Linked DNA regions of Pelodiscus sinensis. The protein of the gene in region 2 interacts with the protein of the main gene of each other region in a pairwise test. Links are inferred from orthologs where the notes say so. Each region holds a gene or a part of one and is shown on either strand. Other genes may lie near its edges. The genes, in order: EAF1, BEND7, PPP1R37 and PSMF1.

Region 1 (7,273 bases), on a different chromosome or scaffold from region 2:
TTTTCACACTTTAAAGTTAGGATCAGCATTTCAATTATCCGTCTAAAATCTGATGGAACCTGTCACTCGCAAAGGGCACAGCAAAGTATAGGCTTTCATTTAGATCACAGTAAGTTTCTCTTTAGAAACTACTAAAAACTCATTATTGATCTACTCATTTCAGCAGTGATCAAATTAGCAGAAACCCTCACCATTCGTGGTATATACAAATGGCGAAATTTGCAAATACTGGGAGCTATGGACCCTGGCTCCTGGGGGAAGCTCCCCGTGGCTCCCTAACAGGAAACTCACCATGGCTCCCGGCACCTCAGCGAGTTCCCCACAGCTCTTGATCACACCATCCCCTTCAGGTCAGGAATGGAGACCCCATGAATATGCGGAACCCCAGAGAGCAATTCCGCGAATCACGAGGGTCTCCTGTATGCTTTCCTCTATGCCCTGGCCCTTTTGTAAAAAGGGTGAACAAATGCATTTGAATATGATTTTTTTAAATGTATATTTTAATGCTTTGACTATTCTAGATAGTCAACTTTGTAACAGGGTGCAAAATTTTGAGCAACTTGTGTTGGAAAAGAGAGAGAGAGAGAGAGAGAGAGAGAGGATCTTAGATCTAATTTAGGACACTAAGCAAGTGTTCTAGAGCAGTGGTTCCCAAACTGTGGCGTTCAACTCCATAAAGATTGCAGAGCAACATATGGCAGGTCCCAGGTGAGTTGAGGAGAGAGCATCACACTGCCTTACTCAGCTCCCCAGCTCCTCTCCAACCAGGGCCATACTTAGGATTTATGGGGCCCTATACAGTACTATTAAACTGGTGTCTCTATGCCCAACAGCATTTGGGGAGGGAGATTTCTTTAGACACATGGTTTTAAAATCTTCAGCAGCACACTAACATATTTTTATAGAAAATTTTAAACCAAGATCCTGTAGACCAGGGCTACTCAACTTTGGAAGCCTCAGAGGCCACAATAATACAGCACATGCCGAGGGCCGCAACTTAAGTGTCGTTGCTTATACATGCAAATTGCTTCTTTCACACGGGTTGGCATGAATACAAAGCACTTCCCACATTCCCCAGGACTCCCGGCACCTCCTCCCTGGGGGCTAGAAACGCCAGCCCGTCCGCTTGCATCTTTCAATGCTCACCCCACCTGGCAGACGCCTTGCCATTGTGGAGCGTGTTCCCAGTGGAGGTCATGTTCAAAGATTCCCACCTGCAGGCCACGTGTTGAGCCCCGCGTAAACCAAAACTGCACTGCAGGCCGCAAACATACAGGCCATGGGCTGTGTGTTGAGTAGTCGTTCTATAGACTCACACAGTACATTCAGAACCTGACAGTACATACTAGGGATGTGGAAGTTTAACCAGTTAACTGGGAAGCATCACCCTAAATTGGGGGGCAGGAGTAGCTCCCCATCTGTTGTGGGCAGGGAGCTGCTCCAACCCCACCGGGGGCCCATCGTGGACACAGTCGGGGAGCAGTCCCTGTTCATGGGGAGCCCAGGCACCCCACAGGCAGGGACTGTTCCAGCATCCGCAGAAGCCTCTGTCCATGGGGGAGCCAGGCGCCCCACAGGCAGGGGTTGTCCAGAGTAGCCTCTGAGGAGCTCGGGCATCCCACAAGCAGAGCTGCTCTGTGAGGGCTGGGTGTCAGCATCAGCCCCAGCCCATGTGCAGGGGTAGTGAGCTGGCAGATCCAGACCCAGTATGATGCTGGGAGTGGGAGCCCTGTAGGCTGGGGGCTGCGCCAGCCAGGCTGCAGTGGTCCCCAGCCCTGATCTCACTTTAGTCAAATAACCAATTAAATGTTAGGCTAACCTAATGTTTAACTGATTAAGTGGGATTTTACATCTCTAGTATATACCTGGGGTTGGCAAATGCCTATTTAATGGCTTCATTATTATCTGAATGGCTCTTTCACAGGTTCAATGTGCTGCTAGTAGGTCTGACATGCTTTTTCACTTTTAAGTGAACTATATCCTCTATGGAAGAAGTAGAGCCACAGAAGAGGAATAGGAGGAGGCAGTGGGTAGACATTAAGAACCAGTGGTGACCCAAATTTTCAGGTACTCTACACATCTGTGTATTCTAAGTATAGGTAAGGATGGGTCAGTCTCCAAACTCTGCCCCAGCCTCCATTCCTAGCCACAGCTGCTGCTCCTGGCTTCCCCCACAGCCATACCCGTGGTCCAAGCTCCACTCCCACTCCTGGCCCAGCTCTGTCCGATTCCCTCTCCAATCCTAAACCATGTCTGGCTGTAGCCTCAAGGTCCTTTCCCCTTTCCAATGCTGCCCCCAATTTTGCCTTCCACCCAAGCTCCTCTGCTGAGTCAATGATGCAGTAATGTGGGGTAGAGAGAGAGTGTGGACAAATTCGATTACTGGTAAGGGGAGGCACAATAGGAAACGTTTGGGATCCACTGGTCTAGAGAGTGGGTCTGAATGTAAAATACAGATCAATTATAATATATTATTCAAAGATTTTGTAATAGGTTTTGGTTTTTTTAACTTTTGAAACTTTCAGTTGGGTCTTGACGGTGCCTCCTCTTGGAGACAGGGAGGGGAAAACAGGATGAAAGGACCAATCAAAAAACTCTTCAATTTTTTTATATCTTAAAAGTCATGGAAGCTATCAACTCCACAACATTGTGCACTTGGGGTATGTCTACTTCATTAGTAGTATTTGTTCCTTTATTTGTAGAATTAGTGTATATGGCTCACCTCCCGACATGCTTTTAAATCTTCAAACTCCCTAGTTGTCCAATGCCGATCTTTAAAGAAGTTTGTGCTGTTTCTTTTGTAAAACAGATCCCAGTTCTTCTGTGCCTCCTTCTCTAGTTTCAGTTTTTTGAAGTCAGACACCAAAACTTGCTCTCTTGCCAGTTTCTCAGCTTCTTCAGAGCTAAGGGTCCTTGCACTATGCCCTTTCTTTTGGAAAGCATCATCTTCACAAATTGGAGATACTGAATTCACATAATTATCAGATGTATTTTCTTGGGACATCCTGGATTAATCCACAGGAATACAAACACAACAGATTTAAAGTGGTTTTTTCCCCCCTCATGTATTTATTGCCATCTTTCATTTCAGATCAGACAACCTGGAAACATAAGAAACAATGAGAAAAGAATTATAGTTTGCAGTTCCTGTACCAGAGACTCCTCCCCAACCTCTCCCCCCAGGCAGCCGTCCCCCACTTCCTTCCCCAAACCCACCCTGTACCAGAGACCCCCCCGCCCGCCTCCCCAAACAGCCCCTCCCTGTACAGAGACCCCCCCGCCCGCCTCCCCAAACAGCCCCTCCCTGTACAGAGACCCCCCCGCCCGCCTCCCCAAACAGCCCCTCCCTGTACAGAGACCCCCCCGCCCGCCTCCCCAAACAGCCCCTCCCTGTACCAGAGACCCCCCTCGCCCGCCCCCCCAAACAGCCCCTCCCTGTACAGAGACCCCCCCCGCCCGCCTCCCCAAACAGCCCCTCCCTGTACAGAGACCCCCCGCCCGCCTCCCCAAACAGCCCCTCCCTGTACCAGAGACCCCCCTCGCCCGCCCCCCCAAACAGCCCCTCCCTGTACAGAGACCCCCCCGCCCGCCTCCCCAAACAGCCCCTCCCTGTACAGAGACCCCCCCGCCCGCCTCCCCAAACAGCCCCTCCCTGTACCAGAGACCCCCCTCGCCCGCCCCCCCAAACAGCCCCTCCCTGTACAGAGACCCCCCCGCCCGCCTCCCCAAACAGCCCCTCCCTGTACAGACCCCCCCTCGCCCGCCCCCCCAAACAGCCCCTCCCTGTACAGACCCCCCTCGTCCGCCCCCCCAAACAGCCCCTCCCTGTACGAGACCCCCCCCGCCTCCCCAGACAGCCCCTCCCTGTACCAGAGACCCCCCCGCCCGCCTCCCCAAACAGCCCCTCCCTGTACAGACCCCCCCTCGCCCGCCCCCCCAGACAGCCCCTCCCTGTACGAGACCCCCCCCCGCCTCCCCAAACAGCCCCTCCCTGTACAGACCCCCCTCGTCCGCCCCCCCCAAACAGCCCCTCCCTGTACAGACCCCCCCTCGCCCGCCCCCCCAGACAGCCCCTCCCTGTACGAGACCCCCCCCGCCTCCCCAAACAGCCCCTCCCGCTCTCCTAGCGCGGACACCGAGTCTTGCCCCAAACTCCGCCCCCTCTCCCGGTTCCTACCCGCGCGGGGCGGGGCGGGGCGTAGGCCGGGCCGGACGGCTTTGGCGGTGACACGCGGCCCCGGAAGGGAGCGGAGCGGGGCGGGCGGGGGATCCGGCGTGGCGGGGGCATGAACGGCTCGGCGAACCCGCTGCTGGACAAGGAGGAGCACGCGCTGCAGCTGGGCGAGAGCTTCGAGCGGCGGCCCAAGGCCTCGTTCCACACCATCCGCTGTGAGCGCCCCCCCCCTCGCGGGCACCCCGCCCCGCCCCGGGACTCGCCCCGCCCCCGCACCCCCCCCCCCCAGTGTCACGTTCGATTAATCCGCTAATCGAGTAGTCGATGGAATTTCCATCGGGACTGGGCTAGTCGCTCAGGGGGCGCCGCCCTCCCCCGGCGGCTCTTGCCCGATTGGAAGGAAGAGGCGCAGCGGGGACCCTGTGGCGTGGGCGCTGCGTCCATCCCTGCTCCCACCTTCACCCTCGCCTGCCTCTGCCCCTCCGCGGAGACGGTGCTGGGGGAACGGCTTTTAGGTTTGCTGCCCCCAGCACGGCTCCTGCTACCCCCCCCCCCCCATCCCTTGGTGCCTCTGATATAAGCCTAGGCTTTTTCGGTAGTCAACTAGTTGCTTACATTCCTTACCCCCCCCCATGTATCTTCCTCCTTAACCTACCCAGCTCCCCTAAATCCTCTCTGAGCCCTAGCCCCTCACTCTCCAGTTTCCCCTGCCACCACCCCAACTCTTGCGCACACCCCTTACCAGCTCCCCCTCCACTCTCTCTGCTCCCCTTTCCTAGGTTCTTGCCAGTTCTGTGGAAAGCAGCAACTTTCCGTTACAAATTTAGAGGGAGGGGGGGAATAAAGTGAGGTTAATCTGAAAGTAACTCAAAATTATGGGAAGGGGAGAGCGCATGCGCACAGAGGGCAGCGAGCTTCTTAGTGAATGTCAGATCAGATGATGTATCAGTTTAAATATTATACTGTGAAAGATGCAGGACTATGGTTTCACCTGAGAGAGTCTGAAAGAGGGAAACCACAGCCACCCAGTTTCTTAAGATTTATTGAAATGTCTATCAGAATCCTTCAATACAATGTAAAGAGCACAACATGTTGTCCCCTATTCCCTCCAGGAGGAAGCCTCTATCTCTGGATGAGTAATATTTAGCCAGTCTGGAAGATGAGTTTTGAAAGTTTTCAGATGATACCAAGTTTGATAGCTAAGTTTGCAGATACCACAAAGCTGGGAGGGGTTGCAACTGCTTTGGAGGTTAGGGTCATAATTCAAAATGATCTGGACAAATTGGGGAAATGGTCTGAGGTAAACAGGGATGAAGTTTAATAAGGACAAATGCAAAGTGCTCCACTTAGGAAGGAACAATCAGTTTCACACATACAGAATGGGAAGCGACTGCCTAGGAAGGAGTACTGCAGAAAGTGATGTAGGGGTTATAGTGGACCACAAACTAAATATGAGTCAACAGTGTGATGTTGCAAAAAAAGCAAACATGATTCTAGGATGCATTAACAAGTGGGTTGTGAGCAAGACAGGAGAAGTCATTCTTCTGCTCTACTCTGCACTGATTAGGCCTCAGTTGGAATATTGTATCCAGTTCTGGACACCACATTTCAAGACAGATGTGGAGAAATTGGAGAAGGTCCAGAGAAGAGCAACAAGAATGATTAAAGGCCTAGAGAACATGACCTATGAAGGAAGACTGAAAGAACTGAGCTTGTTTAGTTTGTAAAAGAGAAGATTGAGAGGGGACATGATAGCGGTTTGACAAGGTTTCACAAGGAGGAGGGAGAAAAATTGTTCTTCCTGGCCTCTGAGGATAGAACAAGAAGTAATGGGCTTAAACTGCAGCAAGCAAGGTTTAGGTTGGACATTAGGAAAAGTTCCTAACTGTAATGGTGGTTAAACGCTGGAATAAATTGCCTAGGGAGGTTGTGGAATCTCCATCTCTGGAGATATTTAAGAGTAGGTTAGATAAATGTCTTTCAGGGATGGTCTATAGTACTGGGTACTGTCATGAGGGCAGAAGACTGGAGTCGATGACCTCTTGAGGTCCCTTCCAGTCCTAATATCCTATGATTCTATTTTCTCAGAGTGCTTCAAGCTTCTCTGTTGGGGAAAATAGTCTACTTTTGCTCTTTTTTGCCTCTTACTATTAGGGATGTGAATGTTTTATCATTTATGTTTAACTGGTGGGAGCTGGAGCCTGGGAGCCTCTGTAAATGGCAGATAGCCTTATCTAGCAATAACATATTTGAAACAAGTTTTTACTAGGGGGCTACACCCTCTGCTCGCTGCGCTCTCCTACCCCCCTCTCTCTGGCTACTTTTGCTTTGCTTAGAGAGCTTGTTGACGCTGATTATGTCATTTTGTCACCCAGCAGGAGCATTCTGTCATCCAGCAGGAAAATCTTTTTTATATATAGAGAAAGATTTGTAATTCAAAGATTCAAAAATATACCCACCATTACCTCAAATGAGCAAAATTAGGCTCTTCTAGTGATAGAAGTCCTAGAAGTATACAGCTAAAAATACATTGGGGTTGTATCATTCTCACTTGCTTATAAGTCACTTTAAAGGACAATATCTGAAAGGATGAAGACAGTGGATCATATCTTCAGGAGAAACTACAGCTTTTGAAGTATTTAGAATGTAGTCATAGTCTGAAATAGCTTCAGATCAGATTATGCACTTTCTAAACTAGAATATTTTTTGTGACCACTGGACCTGAAAATTTAACCTGGGATCAGTTATACTGATTTTCCCTCCTTCCGGCATACCACTGTAAGATCTTATAGACCAAAATTCTTCTCTCCTTTATAACATCCAAAAACTCATTTTCATCATCTCTTGGCTGTGAGGTTCTATAGTACTTGGACAGTTTTATATGCTTCTTAGCATATATGCAGTGTCTTAGGTGGCACGTGACCAGGATCCATGGCCCCTTCCCCAAGTCTGCCACTGCCGCTGCTGAAACTGACAAGTGACAGAGCAGAGCTGCTGGGGTGCTGCCGGGTTGATCCCGCAACGCCACCGCTCACCCCCCTGTTCAGCTCCAGGCAGCACCCCAGCTGCTCTGCTCCGCCCTGCCGCTTCCCCAAGTCT
Region 2 (7,576 bases):
CAGCTGGGCTCTTGTTTGGCTGAATGATCTGACCAGAGCTGAATGATCTCCACACAGTGCTGGGGATGGGATGCACCCCGATGGGAGTTAGGTGGGGATATGAAGGAGCATCAGGGCTGAGGAGATGATGGTGCACATCACAGAGGACAGTGAGAGGGGAGGCACATAAAGGGTCAATGAGGTGACATGTAATTGGCCACTGCAGTGAGCAGCCAGTGCTGGCTGGAAATGAGTGGGGGTTAGAGGGGAGCCTGATGGCCCAGAGCTGGCACACAGTAGAGACTCCACTGATGGACCATCAGTGGGGACTGGCCAGCCTTGCACGCTGCAGCTTTGCCCAACCACCAGTCTTGTACATCCACCCTATCATCAACTACTTGATCCCCACCACTTATCACTGGCCTGTGGTTGGCTGGCTAGCAGGAATTCAAAAAGCAGTAGGACCTACCAGCACTGATGAGAGGGGAGAGACAGAAAATAAGGGACAATTGCAAAGGGGGGGACAGAAGGGGTACTTCAAAGTGGCAGCACTGCACAGTGGCACCACTACTTTGAAACCCCAAGGTGGCATTTCAAAGGCGCAGACGCTGCACAGATGATTTGCAGATCAGCTGTGCGACAGCTGCCCCTTTAAAATGCCACTTCTGTGCTTTTCAAAGGAGCAGCTGGGGAGCCCAGGGGTCAGCTGGGGACTCCCAGTTGATCCCGGATTCCACGCGGAACTTCCCCGGAACCTGGGATCAGCTGGGGAGTCCCCAGCTGATTCTGGGTTCCACATGGAAGTGCCACGGGGAGCCCAGGGTTAGCTAGGGAGTCCATAGCTGACCCCGGGCTCCTAGCAGCATGAAGCATAGCATGGAGCTTGGGGTCAGCGGGGGACTTTGAGTCCCCTGCTGACTCTGGACTCCATGGCTTTGAAATGCACAAGAGCCCCTGCTGGGGACTGTTGTGCATTTCAAAGCAGGCACAGCTGTGTGCGGCCCGGAGTCAGCGGGACTTCCCGCCAGCCCTGGGCTGTACGTGGTGTTCCATATTCCTCCTTGGAACTCTTGTACATTTCAAAGGAGGAATGAAGAAGGCCTATCAACTAGTCAATGGACATTCCATTGACTAGTCAATTAACCGCATTTTAATATCCTTAGTTGGTCTAGTTGTGATCAAGGTAGTTTTATTGTGTGGTTTGGTTTGAACTGCTCTGTGTAAATCTATGCCTCCCCTCCACATTTACTATCTCGCATTGTGCCCAGAAACTTTTCTCTGTGTTTTGTTTTCCTTACTTGCTCTGTAACATCTAGCAATCAAGTATGCCTTATCAAGTCTATCTTTTGTTTTCTAATAAAAATCACTTTTTTAAGGTGATAATTTGATTCTTGAGTCCTGAAAGGTCTGTTTGTCTGTGTATTTGCATGCCTCTGACTGAGAGGTCAGCTACCAGAGACTGCAGCTTATTTTTCTATTTTCTTTTTTCAAGCTCTTTTGGGAGCTTAGAGTACCCCGGGGGTGGGTTCAAGTGTTCACCTCCAGTTTTAGGGATAAAAAATAACTTGATGGTGGCAGTTTGTTTACTTCTCAGAGCCAGGGAATCTGTGACTCTGGGAAGTTTTGGTAACCAGTGCCTGTAGAGGCAAGGTTTTTAAGCTCTCTCGAGGGCCCTCACCTTCTGCACTTGGAGTGCCAGAGTGGGGAACAGCTCTGACAAAGGGTCACATGCCCCTTAATGCCATTGGGAGGCAAGCGACGAGCTGCCCGCAGGCAGATCCTGATTTGTCCAACCGCTCTAGGCCCTGCGCTTGGGAGACCCTACAGGGCCCAGGCAATCTGGAGCACTGGTGGGGTATGATGCCAGCAGCAGTGGTTGCTCCCCCCGCAGCAGTAGAAAGTAGAGCAACCTGCCACCAGCCTATACTGCTCCCCCCTTGGGGAAGGGGAAGGGGAAGGGAAGGGTTGGAACTGCTCCCCATACTCATCCGCAGTGTGAAGTGGAGGGACATGTGTGGAAGCCAGATGAGTGGAGTGGGCTGGATCACTCCACTTCCCATGCATTCACTTGTGAATGCAGTGTGTGTGTAAACCAGGGAGAGCTTCTCTTCTGAAGAACTAGGTAAGCTCAAAAGCCTGTCTTTCTCCAGCAGAGGTTCATCCAATAAAAGATACTACCTCATCAACCTTGTCTCTTTAATACTACAGTACACAGCTTTTAGCGACATGGCTGTGTCACTACAGCTGTGTCACTAAAAATCAGGCAGTATAGCCAGTGTTTATTGGCTCTTTTGCTGACAAAATGCTTCCACAGCCAGCAAGTAGCATTAACTTTATTGGCAGGACAAAGTGCTGTTCACACAGGCACTTGTTGGAAAAACTTGTCTTTCATGGACAAGAGGGTCATTTAACACCTCTGAATGACAAAAAGTTTGTTGTTCAGTTGTCAGGATAGACTTAGCCTTAGACCATGATACACTACAAAATTATGTCAATTTAATTGATGCTGCCACACAGCTACTACAGTTACTAAATCACGTGGGCTACGTCTACACTGGCATGATTTTCCGAAAATGCTTTTAACGCAAAAGTTTTCCATTAAGAGCATTTTCGGAAAAGCACGTCTAGATTGGCAGGATGCTTTTCCGCAAAAGCACTTTTTGCGGAAAAGCATCCGTGGCCAATCTAGACGCGGTTTTCCGCAAAAAAGCCCCAATAGCCATTTTCGCGATCAGGGCTTTTTTGCGGAAAACACTACTGTGCTGTTTACACTGGCCCTTTTGCGCAAAAGTCTTTTGGAAAAAGACTTTTGCCCGAACGGGAGCAGCATAGTATTTCTGCAAGAACACTGATGATCTTACATGAGGTCGTCAGTGTTCTTGCGGAAATTCAAGCAGCCAGTGTAGACATCTGGCAAGTTTTTCCGCAAAATCACATGATTTTGCGGAAAAACTTGCCAGTCTAGACACAGCTGTGGATTCTTGCATCAGTGATGCATGTTCTCACCAGGAATGCTTGTATCCATTGTATTGTCAGTGTGGGGCATTGTCGGACAGCTCCAGAAAGCCAGTGATAGTCATCATAAGCAATTTGTTGATATAATTACATCGTGACTCTGCACTGCTCAGGGAGGTGCTGTTATTAAATGGGTGTAGAAACATTTACATCAGTAGAAGCCAAATTTAAGTGACGAACACTTCCACAGCTAATTTGAGGCAAGGCAGGTTACATTAACCTACCCCGTAGCGTAGACCAGGCCAAATGCACTTAAAGTGACTTAACCTCCAGTGTGGATCCACTGGTAGCCAGTACTGGCATAGTTGTATCCCCATTAGGATGGAGGCATAATAACTATTCTGGTTTAAAAACCCAGCCCTCACCGAAATAGTTGTTCTGGTACAAATATGTATGCAGATGAGGCCTAAAAATGAAAATCAAGCAGAAGCATTCCTTGCTTTTAATTGAAGCCTGGTGTCCAGCAATGTTCCCGTAAAGATTTCCCATCTATGGCGGAATAAATTTTGTCCTGTGCACCAAGACATATGCAGATGTGTACCACCAACAGAAACACATGCTGCTGACTGCGGTCAGCTGTGGGCACTCTGCCAATCAACTGGGTGGCTGTCCAAGTGCTCTAGGGCTGTGTCTAGACTGGCAAGTTTCTCCACAAAAGCAGCTGCTACATTGCCAGCTGTCTACATTGGCTGCTTGAATTTCCGCAAGAGCACTGATTTCCTACTGTCTGAAATCAGTGCTCCTTGCGGAAATACTATGCTGCTCCCGTTCAGGCGAAAGCTTTTGCGCAAAAGGGTCAGTGTAGACAGCCCAGATTTGTTTTGCGTAAAAAAGCCCCGATCGTGAAAATGGCGATCGGGGCTTTTTTGCGCAAAAGCGCGTCTAGATTGGCACAGACACTTTTCCGCAAAAAGTGCTTTTGCGGAAAAGCATCCGTGCCAATCTAGACGCTCTTTTCCGCAAATGCTTTTAACGGAAAGCTTTTCCGTTAAAAGCACTGGTGGAAAATCATGCCAGGCTAGACGTAGCCTAGGTGTGTTCTGCTGGTCTGAAAGGGGTTGTCTTTGATCCACAGCCTGAACTTTACTTAAGATGGCAAATCCTTTTAGCAGAGCTGGGGGCATGGCAGGAGGCAGCACCTGACCCTCATTCTAGGCTGCGTGAGGACAGAGCCTGCATCTTCTGCCTTAGCACTGCAGGCCCTAGATTCCCTCCCCTCTCCTGAGGAAGTAGGGTGGGGTGTGCCCCGTGGGCGCACTGCAGGCAGCGCACCCTAGGCTGGGGGAACACGGCCCTGGGGGGGGGGGGACCCAATGCCACCAGTCTGCCTCACTAACACCCAGTTCTGGAGCCAGGCGGCGGCGCTGGCTGGCGCCCTGCGCCTGGGGCAAGCACCCAGCCCGGGGGGCGGCCCGCGGCTCCAGGGGGCCGCGGCAGGCGCCAGCTCGCGCCGCGCGCCTCAGGGGACCGCACAGGGGACGGGTGCACAAAATGGCGCCGCCCTTGCGTTCCCTTCCCCCTCCGAGAGTCAGATCCCGATCCCCCCCCCTCCCCGAGACCTGCCCCGCCCCGCCCGGCCGGCAGCGGAGGGGGAAGAGTCACCTCGCCGCCCTCTCCGTTCACTACCATGAGGCTGAAACCGCTCCCCCTCCCCCCCTCCCTTGGGGCCCGCGGCCGCCGCCGCCGCCTCGGCGTGGCGTGGGGCTGCGGGCCGGCCTCGGGGTGGCGGCCTGCGGGCCAGGCTCCCTCAGCCACCACGGGGCGCGCTGTGGTGCGCGCAAGCTTCCCCCAGCAGGTGGCAGCGGGGTCCCAGGCGCCGCTGAGGCAGCGCCACACGCCCGCCGCCGAGCGCTGCTTCCCTTGGCGGTGGTGGCGGCGGCTCCCGGGAGGCGGCCGGCGAGCTCCCCGCACGCAGCCGGGGCTTCCCCGGCACCTGGCGATCTGCCCCCCGCAAAGTTTGGGGTTGGCCCCGGGAGGTGGGGGAAGGGAGCCCGGAGCCAACTTGTCCCAAATCCCCGCTCCGCAGTTGGAACTGAAATCTCCCAGCCCCGGTTTATTTTTGCTGATTAAAGGGACGGACCTTGGTCCTGCGGCTGGGTGGCTGTATAGCCTCCCACTCGCTCTGTGCCATCCCCTTTCTCCTTCCTTTCTTCCTCCTCCTCCCTCCTGCCCACACCATGGAGTTTACGGAGAGGAAGAGGAGCAGGAAATCCCAAAGCTTTAAACTGATCAACCAAGGTAAAGTGGTGCCGGTGGGGGGTAGCGTGGTGTGTGACTTTTTGTTGTTGTTCATTTGTCTCTCCAAAGGACTTTCGGCTCAACGTAGCTGGCTTTCAAAGGAGAAGAGCAGGGTGTTATGAAATGTATGCTGCTTTCCCTTCCCTCTGTCTCCTTCAGTGTCTTTCTGTCTTTATGATTTAACTCCTTGGATTTGTTTTTAAACCCCCTCCCCAATGACAGCACGGTTTTCAAGGCAGATGGTCTCCAAAATAAAGTTGGATCGTAATTTCCTTGTAAACCCCGAGTTAAAAAAACGAAGCAGGAAATTAGTAAAATAATGGTACTTGGGGAACAGAGAAGAGAGCCCTTTCGGTATTCAACTCCTGTAGGGTTTTTTCCCCTGTTGATTGCGCACATACACGTATTTCAAATAAAACACTAATAGAGGTTGTTTTTCTTTTTTAAAAAGGCAACGCAGCCAATTAATTGTACAGAGATAAGGAAGAATTCCTGTCATGCAACTTGTTCGCTCATTATGTATTTGCTTTACGAAAAGAATAGGGTGATTTAAAAGGGATGGTAAAGACTTGTATTTATGTCGGGGGGAAACAGACCTTTCTGTTTAGATCTAAAAATCGTTGATGGTCATTTTCACAGGTGAGCTTTACAGCCTTAGTGTTTTATTTAGGTGGGGATGTGGACTGCTACTCCCACTGATTAGATCTTTTCCTCTCATTGATTTGACTTCCGTGTTTTAAAGTATTGAACTGAAATATCTCCATGAAAAGCTGTGTGTGTCCAGCATGCTAAGTTCAAGGCAAGTGACTTCTCTGGCATAATGTTACACACTTTTTCTTTAATGTGTCACACTTGGGCACTTTTAGGCATCCCTCTTCAGTCACTGTTGGATGAAAACAAATGGGAAGCAAAGGAATTTAAACATGAAAATAACTTTCGGGAAGCTAATGAAAAATATTCATTATGAGCATTGGACATAACATACTTTCTTAATCTAGAGGAATACTGTACTGTCAGGTCAAAATTGGCCAAAAATTAGTGTAGATTTTATAAAAGCAAGTATTTGCAAACATAAGGTCAGAAGAAATTAATCTGGGATTTAAAGTTCAAAAGGAAACTTTTTGAGAAACAAGTATTCTTCTGCACTGCTTATAGTATAAGCACTAGAACAGTGGTTCTCAATGTGTGGTCCATGGACTCCTGGGGGTCTGCGATAGTACTCTAGGGGGTCCACAGAAAACTTAGGAAAGGAAAAGTAAGGATTGGGCCACCACATGACTGGAGCTTTACGCCAAGTGATCCTCACCTGGGGCGTGCACACACTCTCCCCCCCCCCTTCGTTCCCACAATGGACCCCAAACCTTACTTTTCTTTTCCTTTTCTCTCCCGGGGCTCTGTGCCTGGCCAAGGGCAGAATGCCAGGGCAGGAGCTGCCTTTGGCCTTGAGAGCCCCCTTGCAGTATCCTCTGTGGATGGGCAGGGAATGAAGCAGCACAGATCAAGGGATGTGCTGGTTGCCCCTTCATGCCACTCCCCTTGGAGGTCCATAACATTTTAGCAGATTGAAAAGGGGTCCGTATGCTCGAAAAGGCTGGGAACCACTGTGCTAGAGTATGAGGATCTGAAAGTGAAACTGATTAGTTTGTATTTCCAAGTTGAGAAAACTGTTAGATGTGCAGAATAACTCAAATAGTCAAAAGTAAATTAATATTTTACAAGCATTTAGTCTTGACATGTCATTTGTAACATAGATTAATAATTTTGTAATAATACTTTTAACTATTTTTCACTGGTGATTTAGCTTGTGTTTCACTTGTGGGTTAGCTGTTTTTTGTCTGAGAACCCTTCTAAATTATAGAACACTAACAACACTAAATGCAATTTTGGAAAAAGTGGTGTTTTGATTCAGGGAGAACAGAGAAGATAAAAAATGTATTTTAGCAAAGTAAGATTCAGCTTTTATGTATGTCCCTCCTCATTTCCTATGCAAATTGATTACAAAGATCATTGAGTATAAATAGGTGTTTCCCTGCTACTCAGCTTTTGCTTCCTGCTTGAGTCATTCACTGTCAGAGTTTAATGTTTACTGTGAAGATATTGATAGTGATTTCAAAGCCTTGGACTAGGACATTGCAGACAAAAGAAGGGGGCCAAAGGAGACACCCACTGTATTGACTTATATTATGTAAATTATTGTCATTTTTACTGTATACTGTACACCCTACATCTTCTTTCATCCCACTGAATCTCAAAGCAGTTTGTCATCATAATGAAGTAATTCAGACTACTGTATATATAAAATTGTGTATTCTTCCACTGAAATGCAGAAACTGATACAGCAGTC
Region 3 (7,900 bases), on a different chromosome or scaffold from region 2:
TAAAACATTACGAAGTGGAGAGATCATTATTTCTTTACATTTCCAGGAGACCAAGTTTGCTTGTTTCCTAAGTCAGTCATGCAAAAATCAGAAGAAAAAAAAACAACAACAACATGAGGACTGCTAAACAAGGGTATTATTTTCAACAACTACAAAGTGTGAAAAAGTTGTGCTACTGACAAAGTTACATTTTTTCAAATCTTCAGTCCTACAGACACCTGGATCAGGAAAGTGCTTAAAACAGTGCAGAATGGCCATTTACATTAAAAGGCCGGCATATTATAACTAATAAATATCACAGAGGAGTAGCCATGTTGGCCTGAAATTAAAAAAAACTTCAACAACAAAGGTCCTGCAGCACCTTAGAGACTAATAATAATATATAAATATTATCATGAGCTTTCGTGGGCACAACACACCTCTTCAGACAACAAATATGGATCTGAAGACGTGAGCTGTGCCCACAAAAGCTCCGGACACTACTCATATATTTTGTTAGTCTCTAAGGTGCTACAGGACCATCATTGTATTTTAAGTTTTAATAAATATCAGTTTAGCTTTCAGTTCTTGTCACTGGATTCTAATTATTGATTGGGTAGCCTTGTTAGTCTTTATCTGCAAAAACAACGAGTCCTGTGGCACCTTAAAGACTAACTGATTTATTTGGACATAAGTTTTCATGGGTAAAGAACCACAAAGTCAAAGTAGGTCTTTGCCCACGAAAACTTATGGCCAAATAAATCTGTTAGTCTTTAATGTTAGTCAAAACTCCTCTTAACTATTGACTAATTTTTATAAAGATCCTGTGTACACTCAAAGGACCAAATGGGTAGTACAGCTGTATAAATCTGAAACAAACTGCTTAGTTCTGTTTAAAGCATATTTAAACATTTTATAGAAAAGTCATCTCCGAGTTTCCTGTTATACCACAAACATAAGCAATTTAGTGTTCTGCTTCATTTGGGAACAATTCCCTTTAACACGCGGACAGATCCTCACTGAAGTTAACAGGACTATTCAGAAGCTTCAGAGGGGTAGCCAAGTTAGTCTGTAACAGGAAAAACTTAAAAAAACAACAAGTAGACTAGTAGCACCTTAAAGACTAACAAAACATGTTGGTATCATGAGCGGTCATGGGCATAACCCACTTCTTTCTCCGGTCATCTGAAGAAGTGGGTTGCACCCAGGACAGCTCACGATCTCATCGACGTGTTTTGTTAGTCTTTAAGGTGCTTAGTGATAGAAATGTAGCCGTGTTAGTCTGGTGTAGCTGAAACAAAATACAGGACTATGTAGCACTTTAAAAACTAACAAGATGGTTTATTAACCATCTTGTTAGTCTTCAAAGTGCTACATAAAGTGCTACATAGTCCTGTATTTTGTTTAAGGTGCTTGTCTCTGTGTTGTGTTTTAAGGACGATTCGGGCAATATACCATTTGCACAAACCAGCCTGAGAAGAAGAGCGCGAGTGAATTGAAGACTAACAAGATGGTTAATAAACCATCTTGTTAGTCTTCAAAGTGCTACATAAAGTGCTACATAGCCCTGTATTTTGTTTAAGGTGCTTGTCTCTGTGTTGTGTTTTAAGGACGATTCGGGCAATATACCATTTGCACAAACCAGCCTGAGAAGAAGAGCGCGAGTGAATTGAAGACTAACAAGATGGTTAATAAACCATCTTGTTAGTCTTCAAAGTGCTACATAAAGTGCTACATAGCCCTGTATTTTGTTTAAGGTGCTTGTCTCTGTGTTGTGTTTTAAGGACGATTCAGGCAATATACCATTTGCACAAACCAGCCTGAGAAGAAGAGCGCGAGTGAATTGCAAAGTTTACCATGTCGCCAGGGATCCTTCGGTTCCACAGACCCAGACACGATGTCCTCGTCGGAAGGGAACGTGACCCGCTTTGCTCCATTCTTCAGCTTGCCCTCTTCACACGGCGGCTCCACGCGCGGGTCGCCCTGCGGGCTGGGGGCGTCGGAGTCCAAAGCACCGCGGCGGGACGGCGGCGAGGCCGGCTTCCCCTGCGGCAGGGAGGTCTCCTCCTCCTCCTCCTCCGGGCATCCTCTGTCGGCGGCCGCGCTGCTCCGCTCCGCAGGCGGGCACGAGGCGGCTTCCTGCAGCGGGTGGCTCCCGGCCAGAGTCTCTCCCCGCTCCGACGGCTCCGCTCCCCGCTCCGAGCCCCCCCGGGCGGCAGGGGCGGCCCCTCCCCCCGCCGCCTGCGAGCTGGGCGGCGGCGGGGGGGGGCGCCCGGCCTCCTCCAGGCGAGCCAAGCCCGCCCCCCCCGGGGGCTGCAGCCCCGCTCGGCCGCCCCCCGCCTCCTCCGCGCCCGCGCAGGGCTCCGCGTCCGGCTGCCGGGGGGGGCGCGGCGCGCGCTCCATGGCTCCCCGCCTCATGGGGGCCCGGGCGGCATCACTCCGCGGGCGCCCCCGCCCCGCCCGCGCAGGCCCGGCTGAGGGCTGGGCCGCGAGGGGAGGCCGCGCGCCGGGGAACCGCCGCCGAGCGCAGCCGCGGTCTGGCGCGGCGGACCCGAGAGAAGCCGCCGCCCGCGGAGTGCGCCAGCGGCCTGCCCATCCGCGGCCCGCACTTTCGCCACGGGCGGCGGCCGCCCGCCCGGCGCGGGGCCCCGCCCGCCGCCGCGGCACCGAGGAGGGGAAGATCCCGCCGCCTGGCCTCGCGGGCAGGGCCGGCCGGCCGCCGCGGGACGCTCCGGTAAAGGGTCGTCTCCGTAGCGAATCAGCCGCTGCGAGTCGTCGCACGCACCCGGCGGCGGCCAGCCCGCCAGCACCGGGCGAAGGCGGCTGAGGCTTCGGCGCGGCACTTTCGGCGCGGCACTGGGGGCGCGTTCCGGGGGGGGAGGGGAAGCTGAGGATGCGCCCCCCTGAGGCGGCTGCCTACTCCCTAGGCGCCGGACGCGCGCTGGGGCTCGAAAACAAGGCGCGAATCTGCTGCTACTAATGAAAGAGGCCGCGGACAAATAGTCAGCTTCACGTGATGCGCCCCAAACAGCCTGGCCCGCCCCCGCCGGGCTGCTGGCCCTTTAAGTCCGCGGCGGGGGCGGGGCCGAGCGCAGGCTGCGTCGCCCTGGGACCCGCCACATGTCACGAGGCCCCGCCCCGGCGTCCCTAAGTGGGGGGCGTGTCCATGTGCGCGTGCGCGTCCCTGCTGCGCGTGTCTGGTGTGTGCAACCTGTGTGAGTGTGTGTCCATGTGTGCTGTGTGTAGCTAGTGTGTGTGTGTCTGTGTGTGTCCATGTGTGTTGTGTGTAGCCAGTGTGTGTGTGTCTGGTGTGGGTGTGTGTATCCATGTGTGTTGTGTGCATCTCTGGTGTGGGTGTGTGTATCCATGTGTGTTGTGTGCATCTCTGGTGTGGGTGTGGGTGTCCATGTGTGTTGTGTGTAGCCAGTGTGTGTGTGTCTGGTGTGGGTGTGTGTATCCATGTGTGTTGTGTGTAGCCAGTGTGTGTGTGTCTGGTGTGGGTGTGTGTGTCCATGTGTGTTGTGTGTAGCCAGTGTGTGTGTGTCTGGTGTGGGTGTGTGTATCCATGTGTGTTGTGTGCATCTCTGGTGTGGGTGTGTGTATCCATGTGTGTTGTGTGTAGCCGGTGTGTGGGTGTGTGGGTGTGTATCCATGTGTGTGGTGTGTAGCCAGTGTGTGGGTGTGGGTGTGTATCCATGTGTGTGGTGTGCATCTCTGGTGTGGGTGTGGTGTGTGTATCCATGTGTGTGGTGTGCATCTCTGGTGTGGGTGTGGTGTGTGTATCCATGTGTATTGTGTGTAGCCAGTGTGTGTCTGTGGTGTGGGTGTGTATATCCATGTGTGTTGTGTGTGTCTCTGGTGTGGGTGTGTGTATCCATGTGTGTGGTGTGTGTCTCTGGTGTGGGTGTGTGTATCCATGTGTGTGGTGTGCATCTCTGGTGTGGGTGGGTGTATATCCATGTGTGTTGTGTGCGTCTCTGGTGTGGGTGGGTGTATCCATGTGTGTTGTGTGTAGCCAGTGTGTGTGTGTCTGGTGTGTACAGCCTGTGTGTGTATCCGTGTGTGTTGTGTGCATCTCTGCTGTGTGTGGCCAGTGTGTGTGTCTCTGCTGCTGTGTGTGTCCACTTTACATTTCTATTGTGTATAGCCTCTGTGTGTGTGGCCAGTGTATGTCAATCTGTACATGGGGAGTAATTATTTTGAATGCCTTGGGGAGGAGCTATTTTGAAATAGTAGCAGTGGAACAAAATAGCTGTTTCGAAACAGGCGTTATTCCTCATGAAATGAGGTTTACAAAGGCCAAAATAAGCTGCCCATTATTTCGAATTTTTTTTTTGAAAGAACAGGTTAGCTGTGTAGACGCTCACATAGTTATTTCGGGATAACGGATGTTATTCCAAAATAATGCTGCTGTGTAGACGTAACTTTAGAGCAGAGGTTCTCAAACTTTCTGATACTGGACCCTCCTCTAAGTTGCTCGTGACCCACAGTTTGAGAAACGAGGTCTTAGAGCCTAAAAAAAACCCTCTATATAATGAGCAGTCAGGACAAGGCTACCCCCTTAGTCTTTAAACTCCAACACAATTAATATAAGAAAAGAGGCACCTACTGATGTCTATTTAGCTCTGCTCTTTGAACAGTGGGAGGAATTAGGTCAAACCAGTCCAGGCAGGGGAAACCACATCACCTCCTGACCAGGATAACCTTCTCTTACCCTCAGAGCTCTGACACTCAAGCCCCTACATTTGCAAGAATCTTTCTGCTGTGAGCTCTTTCATGTGGAACAATTTAGCACAGCCCTGCTTTTCTGGAGTCCTCCAAAACTAAAAACATCAGTAACCATATTTCAGCTCCCCCTGCATTTCGTATAAACATAGAATCATAGAATACTAGGACTGGAAGGGACCTCGAAAGGTCATTGAGTCCAGTCCCCTGCCCTCATGGCAGGACCCAGCACTGTCTAGACCATCCTTGATAGACATTTATCTAACCTACTCTTCAATATCTCCAGAGATGGAGATTCCACATCCTCCCTGGGCAATTTATTCCAGTGTTTGACCACCCTGACAGGTAGGAACTTTTTCCTAATGTCCAATCTAAACCTCCCTTCCTGCAGTTTAAGCCCATTGCTTCTTGTTCTATCCTCAGAGGCCAAGATGAACAAGTTTTCTCCCTCCTCCTTATGACACCCTTATGATACCTGGAAAACATAATGGCTGTGTTTAGACTAGCAAGACTAAACTTGCCAGCTATCTACACTGGCCGCTTGAATTTCCACAAGAACACTGACTTCCTACTGTCTGAAATCAGTGCTTCTTGCGGAAATACTATGCTGCTCCCGTTCGGGCAAAAGTCCTTTTGTGCAAAGCTTTTGACAGCTCAGATTTGCTTTGCGCAAAAAAGCCCCGATCGCGAAAATGGCAATCGGGGTTTTTTTGCAGAAAAGCATCCGTGCCGATCTAGATGCTCTTTTCCACAAATGTTTTTAACGGAAAACTTTTCCGTTAAAAGCATTTGCGGAAAATCATGCCAGTCTAGACGTAGCCAATGGGTGTTGGGCTACAAATGACGTGGATTACAATGAGCGCAATACCACTCCATCTGCTGACTAGCAAATCTAAGCAAAGCAGGAGCAAGCGGTGTTTACGTAATAAACACACCCAGGGTTTCTCTCCCATTCCAACTAGCTATAAGGGACACATTCCTTCAGATCCTGCTCACACTTGGTATTTTGCAATTTGAAAAATGCAGATCTCAATGCACCCCACAGAAAACCACCTATTTAGCACCTACACAGCCAGCTGGATCTTACCCATTCTTGGTCACAAGCCATCAATCAATAAACCATCAATAAAGAAAATAAACTTTCTAATCCAGCTGACCAGAAAAAAAAAAAACAGGCTTCTAGAGCAGCAGATGGAAAATATACGTTTGGCACAAGGATCCGGCTAGACCCAGCACGTTTTTGGCCTCAAATCACAACTTCATTCTGCTAAAGAGAAAGCAAGCTGCCATGACAAGCACCATCCAGAGCCAGTGAACCCTGGCCCCACGGCATTGCAGGACTCAGGCCAGGTCTACACTGGAGCCAGAAGGTCAGCTGCAGGTACGCGACTTCAGCTACATAAAATACGTGGCTGGAGTCGGCGTACCTTAATCCGAGCTTGGCTTCTTTTTCACAGTGGGAAGCCAATGGGACCAGATGCTCCCGTCGGCGTCCCTTCCTCCTCCAGACTGTGCGGAGCACCGGCGCCAACTGGAGCTGCCTTCAGCATTCGATTTTGCAGGCCTTAACGTGGGCGTGTGCATTGTGGGACAAACTGGAACATTTTTATAGCGGGTCTCCTGAAAGCCAGTGGGGCCCACCCCAGACTTTTTACCTCACCCCACCCCCTTACTCCTGTCTGTGTCCTCCACCTCCCAGAGTTGGGGCCAGGAGCAGGCCTGTAGCTCTTGGGGGGTGGGGGATGCAGAGGGGTAAAGGGACCATGTCTTGGGCCATATGTGCGAGGCCAGGAACAGAGCCTCAGTGCAGGGCCAGGAGCAGCCAGGACCCCACAGACAGAGTCCAGGAGCTGTGAACAGAGCTGTGGGTGCAAGTCCAGTTGCAGCCAGGGTCCACATGTGGGGCTGGGAACAGTGCTCCAGGAAGGAGAGTCCTGCAGCCAGGCTCCCAGGTGCACCAGGGACTCTGAGCACAGCCTGGTGGCCAGGACCCTGCACAAAAACTGGGGGAGCTGCAGCACCCCCATCAGTACCCACAATTCCCACACCTAGGGGACAGACTTGGTCTGACACAGGAGTTAAATCACATCCCTTCTCTCACACTTTCCTCCTTGTAAATTCAATACAGGGAGTTGCAAAAGAGGGAAGGAGTATTAAAAGCCACCCTCTTCTGGGGGTTTCCGGTACTACGGCCCTAAAAAATGGGGTTATTTACCTAAAGAATGGGGTTATGTACCCTACTGTGCAGCCTGTTTTGTCTTTCCTCCCCAGCGTCTCTTCCTATATGCTCAGCACAACCCAGGTTTGCACTTAGCCTGTCATAAAGTGACGTGACGTGACAGCCCTATACTACTGTTCCTGGAATCGCTCTTTGCTGAATGCTGCTCCCAGGCGGCCCTTGTGTCTCCCAACAGGCCACACGCCTAGTCGCATGCTCCCTGTATCCCTCTTTCCTTTCACCTGGGACCGCAGCTAAACCTGTCACCGCTGAGCCTCCACTGTCATAAAGGGCCAGCGTGGTCACCAGCTGCCAACCCACCGGGGTTTGCGCCCATGTACGGGGCCCGTCCAGCCCTGAGGCACAGGGGCACTGGGTTCCCAGCCCCACGTTGGAGGCTGCTCCGCAGCAAATCACAGAACAGGCAGCTGCCCCATCAGTGCTGCCGATCCCTCCCCACACTGGGCAGCCCTGCGCACCATAGGGCTGGGACATGGCCGCCAGTACGGCTGTTCCCCTCGCTTTGCTCCCACCGTTCTCCACTCATCCGGGGAGGGAGGCCCAGCCTCAGCTCCAGTCATCAGGAGCCAACCCCAACCCCCATCTCGTTCCATCTTGAGAAGCACGAGCGGGGCCAACTGTGCGTAACCCATGTGACGTCAGTGCCCCCTAGGTTTGTCTTCCTTTCCTCCCTTTGGGTTGAGAAGCAGCACAGCCTAGTGGGTAGAGCTCTGGACTGCAGCCCTGGGGTGTGTTCCCTGCCCTGCCACTCACTGGACTGTGAATTTGGCAAAACCTTTCCCCTCCCCTTGCCTCAGTCTCCCTCCCTCATCTGGATAGATAGTGAGCTCTTCCGGGCGGGGGCTGTCTGTTGCACGTTCTGTGCGCACAGAGCCTAGCACATTAAGGCCTGTGAATGAAATCAGACAGATCAGTGGACCCCAACCTTTTGGGGCTGCCGGGCACCCGGGGGCGGGG
Region 4 (6,868 bases), on a different chromosome or scaffold from region 2:
GTGAGGGGTGGAGCTCAGGGGGGAGTGGGAGGTGGAGGTCCTGGGTGCAGGCTCTGGGAGAAAGTTTGGGGGCTGGCGAGGGGAAGAGGGTGCAGGCTCTGGAGGGAGTGGGGTACACAAGTGGGGGAGTGGATAGGGGTGCCCCTCTCTGGTAATGGTTCCTGGAGGAGTGGAGGTTAACTGGGTGCTGCTGCCCCCGTGGTAGCGTGTTCTCCCCCATCCCTCCTGCCACCCTGCCGGCTCCTCCCAGGTATCCCCCAGACTGCCTGCTATCCCTGGGCAAGTTAAAACACTGAAAGGTGGGGACCGGCAGCTCAGTGTGGCTACAGCGGCTTCCGGCTGCTTATTCCCACAGCTGCCCACACGTGCATCCCTGCAGCTGGGGGGCTGTGCACCCTAACCCCGCTGCACTGCCAGTACTGGTGACGCGCCCCCCCCCCCCAAGCATTGTAAATCGCCCAGGGGTAGCAGGTGGGACTGGGTTAGGGTTAGGGAGATGCAGGGCCAGGCGGCAAGGTTTGCTGGAGCCCAGCAATGTTCTCTCTAATTTTTCCATCTGTGTGCAGAATAAACTTTGTCATGTGCACCGCCAATATAAACACTTGCTGCTGACTGTGGGCGCTCTGCTTATCAGCGCGGCACCATTTGAATCTCTCCTGGGTGGCTGCCCAAGTGCTCGGCTTACAGGGAACACTGGGACGCAGCTCCAGGCCAAGAATATTCCTGGTGCGAGGGCACCACAGGGTCATATCACTTCCCCTATGTCCAGGAGAGTGGTGCACCCCTGAGTTATTCATGCAGGAGGTGGCCCCAAATCTGATAGAAGGGTCTCCCTGACTTTCCCCTTCTGTTGTCCCCAAGTCAATCTGGGAATTCTCCGTCAGAGCCGGAGAAACTTTATCCAGCATCAAAGCACAGGCTCCCCAAAGATGCTTTTAAAGGCTGTTTTTAGTCTGAGGAGCTGAGGGTAAAAAAAATCTGACATTTTAGTTTAATCACATTTGGCAATGGGGAAAACTCAGTTGTAGGCAAAAGAGGTGGAAAGTCAGGTTGCACTTGACTTCCTGGTGGGAAAACCTGAAACTTCCATTGTCTGTTGGTCAGGCTGATGTAGTTACTGTTTGACTTGTCAGGGGGGTTGAACTAATTCTGGCACCCAGATTTCGGTTTAATTGAGCCAGGTGGGCATGGGCCCTGATCCTGCAAACACTTCACTGAGCACTCTCAGAAATCTAGTGAAGCTTGTCATAAGTGTTGGCAGGATCTGGGCCTTTTTACGGAGTTTTCCAGTAGGGATGTACGTGACTAGTTGACTCCCTGATAAGCATGCACTTACTGGGTAGTCAAGTAGTGAATCAACTAGTCGCTCTTCCCTCCCACCCCATGCTGCCTCTATCAGAGAGAGACAGCGAGGCGGGGGGAGCAGGAGTCAGTGCTGGGGAGCCGAATTTTAAGCCGGCTCCCTCCAGCACCATCTCGGGGGCAGATGGGGCAGAGGAGGCAGAAGCGTAGCAGGGACTGGGTACGAGCCGGGAATCAGCTGGCTTGCGCCTGGTCCCTGCTGTGCCTATGCTTTTTAAACGTATTAAGAGCCTGGCAGCTCTTAATGAATTTTAAAAGGCAGAGCTGCAGTGGGGTTAGCTCCCAGGGCCGGCTCTGCAGTTTCCCCCATCAACGGAAATTCCATCAACTACTCAATTAGCTGATTACCCGCAATTGAACATCCCTAGTTTCCAGTTATGTTCAGTATGGATACTGGGGAGAATACCTAGTAACAGTCCCTATTAAAACTAACAAAACACCCCAAGGCTGTGTCTACACTGGCGCGATCTTGTGCCACAGCAGCCCCTCTTGTGCAAAAACTTGCTGCCTGTCTACACTGGCCGCGTGTTCTTGCGCAAGTAAACTGACGTTCTAATGGATGAAATCAGGGCTTCTTGCACCAGAACTCTGACACTCCCGCTCAGGAATAAGCCCTTTTGCGCAACTGTTCTTGCGCAAGAGGCCAGTGCAGACAGGCAACATGAATTTCTTGCGCAAGAAAGCCCTATGGTTAAAATGGCCACCGGAGCTTTCTTGTGCAAGAGAGCGTCTACACTGGCACGGATGCTCCTGTGCAAAAGCACAGGCTAGTGTAGACGCTCTCTTCTGGAAGAGTTCTTGCACAAGAAGCTGCCAGTGTAGATGTAGCTAGTATTCTTGCCAGGGAATGGATCAGAGGATTTCCTGCCAGGGGACAGAATTACAAAAGAGCACCTTTGATTCACCACGCTCTGATGCTAAGCTAACAGGAAGGAGTGATCCGGCGGATCAGGACATACGTTAGGGAGAACAGGTGGGTGAGGTAATATCTGTTATTGGCCCAGCTTCTGAGGCTGTGTACATGGGAGCAGGGGCGGGTTATTCCAGGAAGAAGTGACTATTTTACAATTGTCTTAGGCCCTACTGCTGCAAACACTTCTGGGGTGTTGCGAAATAAGTTCCCACATATGTGTGAGCAAGACCAGGGCCTTACTGCTCCAAGGTGCCACCCACATATCCCGCTTCATTGGATGGGACTTTCACAAGTAGTTGTGAACCTGCTGTTGCTGGCAAGCTGGGGTGGAGAGGTGGTTTAAGGGAGGGACAATGAAGCCCGTCCCCTCAGTCCCATTGGGAAGCTCTGGCTCCATTACAAACCCAGCTGATCTGAGCTTGGAGCAGCAGGCAGAGCCCTGGAATGCTACTGACCTCACATCAGTGCCTGTCCAGATGAACGCCTCTGAAATCAAGGCACGTGCTCGGGCGGAAAACTGACGGTGCGAGCAGAGAATCAGGTCCTCTTTGTATGAAGAGTAACGGGTACCCTGGTGAATGCAGCAGGACCTCCTCCTGGTGCAGAATCAGACCCTGCCTGGCCTGTTACTGACCTTTTCAGCAGCTCTCCCCCATGCCTGAAATGACCCGGTTCTGCCCTGCCCAGGGGAGGTGACGGGAACTCAGCAGATGCAGCTTCTGCTGCTTACCCCGAGGTTGCCGAGTGATGATGTTTGTAGAGTTCTGAGTTCCAGGTTCTGAGCTGTCCGGGGATGGAGAGTGGAGCTGTGCGTGCTGTTTTCTGCCGGGGCTCTCAGACTGGGGGTCACGAGGTTATTATGGGTTAGGTTGCAAGAAAGCCCTGCCAGCCTCCACCCCCAAGCCTTGCTTCTTTATCATTTCTAACGGCCATACCTAGGGGTCACACTCAGAGACTTGCCATGTGAAAGGGGCCACGGATACTGACATTTGAGAACCACGTACCTGACAAGGAGGCGGTTTGCTCCCGAGCAGTTCAGCCCAGAGGAACAGGAAGCCAGCTGTAGCGGAGTCCTGCCGTCTCGAAAGTCGTATTTATTCACTTCCAGCGCTGTGGGGCTACCACACTCCAGTCGGGGGGGAGAGGGCTGTCTACATAGCAATCAAAGGTGTGATTGGAGCATGGCTGGGCGAAGGGTGTTAAATGTTGGTTAATTGACTAGTCGATGAACCTCATTAATTCTTATTGGTTACTCGACTATTCTATAGGCCCTGGGGGCAGGGCTGGCAGCCAGTGCACGCCGGCCCCACTCCCGAGGAGCCCCCTCCACTCTGCAATGCTGCCTCTGGATCAGAGGGAGCAGCATGGGGTGCTAGGTGGGAGCAGTTTAAAATCCAGCTCCCCTCACAGACTGGCTACCTGTCACCCTGCGTGGCAGCAGTGCCCGCCTAGCTCCTAATACACTTTAAATGCAGACCCACAGCGGGGATAGGTCCCAGACCCAGCGTGATTCAAGACTGAGCCGGGCTGCTGGCCAGCCTGCTAAAAAATTAACTGGCAGGGGAGGGGGAGAGAAACGTGTGTAGTCTATACCAGTAACCTATAAGCTTTTGCTTATCGGTTAATCGACTGTGCTATTACATCCCTAGGCTGGGCAGGCTGGCACAACTAAGAGCAGGGAAGGCATGGCAGAATGGGTTTCAGAGCAGGCTGTACAAGTACAGCCAGGGGCCCCGGGTACGTGCTTGCATTGCAAGCCTGCGCCGGAACCTGTGCATCTGTGGATCTTCACTGCTGCTTTTAGCCATGCCTGCTGGATTAAAGCGAGTACCATCCCAGAGCTGCAATAATGCAGTGTAGATGCACCCTGGAATTCTCCTGGGAGCAGAAATAGTCTCCCATGTGAAGGAAATTCTGCAAAGGACCTTTCCTGACAAATCAAATCCCGCCTGAAATAAATCAAATGCCCCTATTCCACGGTGGGGCTCTGGAGAGGGGGACTGGGCAGGAAAGTGTCTCTCTCAGCATGTGCCCTCCAGTGTGTGTGAAATCACAGGCCAGCAGGAGGCTGGTGGAAATGCTGGCAAGAGGATGGTTGTGGTACATTGCTGTATTTGGAAGGAGACAACTTCTCTGCAGCAAGGAACGGCACTCTCTTGTGACCGGAGATCTAACACTGTCCTCAATTCATCTCCCCACCACCTGCAAACCCCAGGAAGCAGATCAGAGTGATTGGTTGGTCCCTGTGTCCAGGATAAAGGGCAGAGCTATAGCACCCAGAATTCCCAGGAAGTCTCCCATCCAAGTACTAACCAGGCCCGACCCTGCTTAGCTTCCAACATCACACAAGATCCGGCATGTTCAGGGTGGTACAGTCATGGGCTCACCAGGCCTGGTTCTGGACAGGCAATTGTTCCAGGAATTACAAATGCCCACTAGAGGGCCCTCTGTGTCTTCCAATAAGACACTGGGCCGAATGGGGCTGCACTTGCTAGACTGAATGTCTGACCCTGGAGGTGAGTCTCCGTTTCAAGGCTCAAGGAAACGTGTACCCCCAAGGAGAGGCATGCCTGGCTCCTCCACCAGGGTAACCCCCTGCCTGCCTCCGATGCAGAAAGGCAGGCGAGGGGGAGCCCCCGCTGCAGCCCCCGAACTTCCTCCCCCCTTGTCGAGGGAGAAGAGGCAGCAGGTTAGAGACACAGAAAGAGGGCCTTGCAAAGATCAGGTTTCCCAGCCTAAATGCTCCCAAGGTTTGGGGGCAGGAGGCAGGTTCAGTCCTATCCCTGTAGGGTCCAACTGCTTTGCCAGATCTGCTGCCTCCACTGTACTAGCCCCCCTCCCCACTCCTTCTCAGCTTGCTTTGCGCACAACTTTGCCAGCGCCCCGGCAGGCAGGCGCAACCCCAGTTTTGTAGTTGGGTAAACTGAGGCACAGACCTCAGGGGATTTGGTCCTGGTTGTGCAGTGTGTCAGAACCCAGACGTCCCGCCCAGGGGAGCGGGGACAGTCAGAGTGAAATAGGGATGAGGAGCAGGGCTGAGTGCTGGGCCAGCGGCTCCGTGGAAGGAGGTCGGCCTGCCTGCACGGAAGGCCCCATGCTGGGCCAGGAGAACTCAAAAGAAGGGTGTTGGTAGGAAGAGGTACAACAGACAGCTCTGAGGGGTCGGGGAAGGTGTCTCCTTCTGCCAGCAGGGGGCAGAAGACACCCGAATAAAACAAAACCCCCTACCAAAACAAGCGGCTCCATTGCATGGGCATCTCCCCCTGGGTCACGTGCCGTCAAGGTGCTGCGTGTGCTATGGGCCCGCACTTGGGTTCTGCCGTGAGGAGCGTGGGGAAAGAAACCAGACTGAGGTGAGCACTGGCTGCTTCGGCCCCCGCGCTAGGGCAGACAGGGAGAGACCAGGGCTGTGTCTACACTCGCGGCTTCTCGCGCCAGAAATATGCAAATGAGGCTAAGCGTGGAATATCGCCGAGCCTCATTGCGTACCTAACGAGCCGCCATTTTCGCAGAAGAGGCTCTTGCGCCAGAAGGAGCTGTCTACACGGCCCCTTCTTGCGCCACAAAACCCTCTTGCGATCACTTTTCAGGAAGAACGGCGTTGCGCAAGAGGGGTTTTGTGGCGCAAGAAGGGGCCGTGTAGACAGCTCCTTCTGGCGCAAGAGCCTCTTCTGCGAAAATGGCGGCTCGTTAGGTACGCAGACGAGGCTCGGCAATATTCCACGCTCAGCCTCATTTGCATATTTCTGGCGCAAGAAGCCGCGAGTGTGGCCATAGCCTAAGTGCCCTTTGGCTGGTTTTTTTGTCATTAGGATGTGGAATGTAGCTGGCAGCCACTGTGGATTTTTTAGTTTGCCCCCGACGCACGGTGACCCTCCCACCGGCAAGTATCCCCACCTAACAAGCCATTCTCATTGCAGGCCAGTCACTAGCGTGCGGGAAAACCCCTTCCGTGGTCCTAGGCTCCTCTTTTACCCCAGTGGCAGCCCCCGGGCGTGGGGAGAGTCAGGGGCCTCCCCTTACTCCAGGTTCCAGCCCAGGGCCCTAGGTAGCAGCCACTAGTGGGCTCCTGTCCTTATCCCCACAGAATAGCAGCCTCTCCCAGGGCCACTTCCCCGATAGCTCCCATAGCACCTTTTCCTGGCACCTTGGTGACGCCTCTCCTGCTTGTAGCCTTCAGTTCCCCTCCACGCTGCACCTCCCCCGTCTCCCGTCAGTCACCCTTCTCCTTCCCCCTCCTCCCCTGAGGGGAAGCCTTTTACAGTAATTACTCGTTTAACACGTGCCCACTTAACATGTTTTCACGATAGCGCGATTTTTTGAGGGGAACGTTTTTTGAATAACACGACCGTCCCTGAAATAACACCGTTTCCCCAGCCGGCCTGTCGCCGACAGCTGCGCAGGGCTTCCCCCGCCTCCCTGCAAAGCGGCGGAGGGTTCGCCGCTCGCCGCGCCATTCCCCGGCGACCCCCCCCTCGTCAGACGCACGGACGCAGTGTGGGTCCCGGAAGACCCGTCACAGCGGCATACTGTACTCCCAACCCAATCCTCCTTCCCTCTCCTCTCCGTCCCTTCCCCAGAGCCAAACCTCTC

What was found.
Region 1: the proteins of BEND7 (region 2) and EAF1 interact in binary tests that used the Homo sapiens proteins (3 or more experiments, as listed by UniProt). The two-hybrid records come from large-scale screens. The link is inferred for Pelodiscus sinensis from reciprocal best matches to the Homo sapiens genes BEND7 and EAF1.
Region 3: the proteins of BEND7 (region 2) and PPP1R37 interact in binary tests that used the Homo sapiens proteins (3 or more experiments, as listed by UniProt). The two-hybrid records come from large-scale screens. The link is inferred for Pelodiscus sinensis from reciprocal best matches to the Homo sapiens genes BEND7 and PPP1R37.
Region 4: the proteins of BEND7 (region 2) and PSMF1 interact in a two-hybrid assay, tested with the Homo sapiens proteins (2 studies listed by BioGRID and IntAct). The two-hybrid records come from large-scale screens. The link is inferred for Pelodiscus sinensis from reciprocal best matches to the Homo sapiens genes BEND7 and PSMF1.

Annotation. Positions count from the first base shown.
Region 1 is NC_134712.1:181,744,160-181,751,432, forward strand, and holds the start of EAF1 (ELL-associated factor 1), read left to right. Parts: upstream 1-4,255; 5' UTR 4,256-4,286; coding exon 4,287-4,389; intron 4,390-7,273. Other genes in the region: tRNA N(3)-cytidine methyltransferase METTL6, read right to left, coding at 2,723-3,004. UniProt on the Homo sapiens protein: Acts as a transcriptional transactivator of ELL and ELL2 elongation activities.
Region 2 is NC_134711.1:14,014,477-14,022,052, reverse strand, and holds the start of BEND7 (BEN domain-containing protein 7), read left to right. Parts: upstream 1-4,571; 5' UTR 4,572-5,171; coding exon 5,172-5,232; intron 5,233-7,576.
Region 3 is NW_027465849.1:7,336,485-7,344,384, forward strand, and holds the start of PPP1R37 (protein phosphatase 1 regulatory subunit 37), read right to left. Parts: upstream 3,012-7,900; 5' UTR 2,398-3,011; coding exon 1,836-2,397; intron 1-1,835. UniProt on the Homo sapiens protein: Inhibits phosphatase activity of protein phosphatase 1 (PP1) complexes.
Region 4 is NC_134728.1:2,474,269-2,481,136, reverse strand, and holds the start of PSMF1 (proteasome inhibitor PI31 subunit), read right to left. Parts: upstream 3,016-6,868; 5' UTR 2,910-3,015; intron 2,872-2,909; exon of another isoform or gene 2,731-2,871; intron 1-2,730. UniProt on the Homo sapiens protein: Plays an important role in control of proteasome function. Inhibits the hydrolysis of protein and peptide substrates by the 20S proteasome. Also inhibits the activation of the proteasome by the proteasome regulatory proteins PA700 and PA28.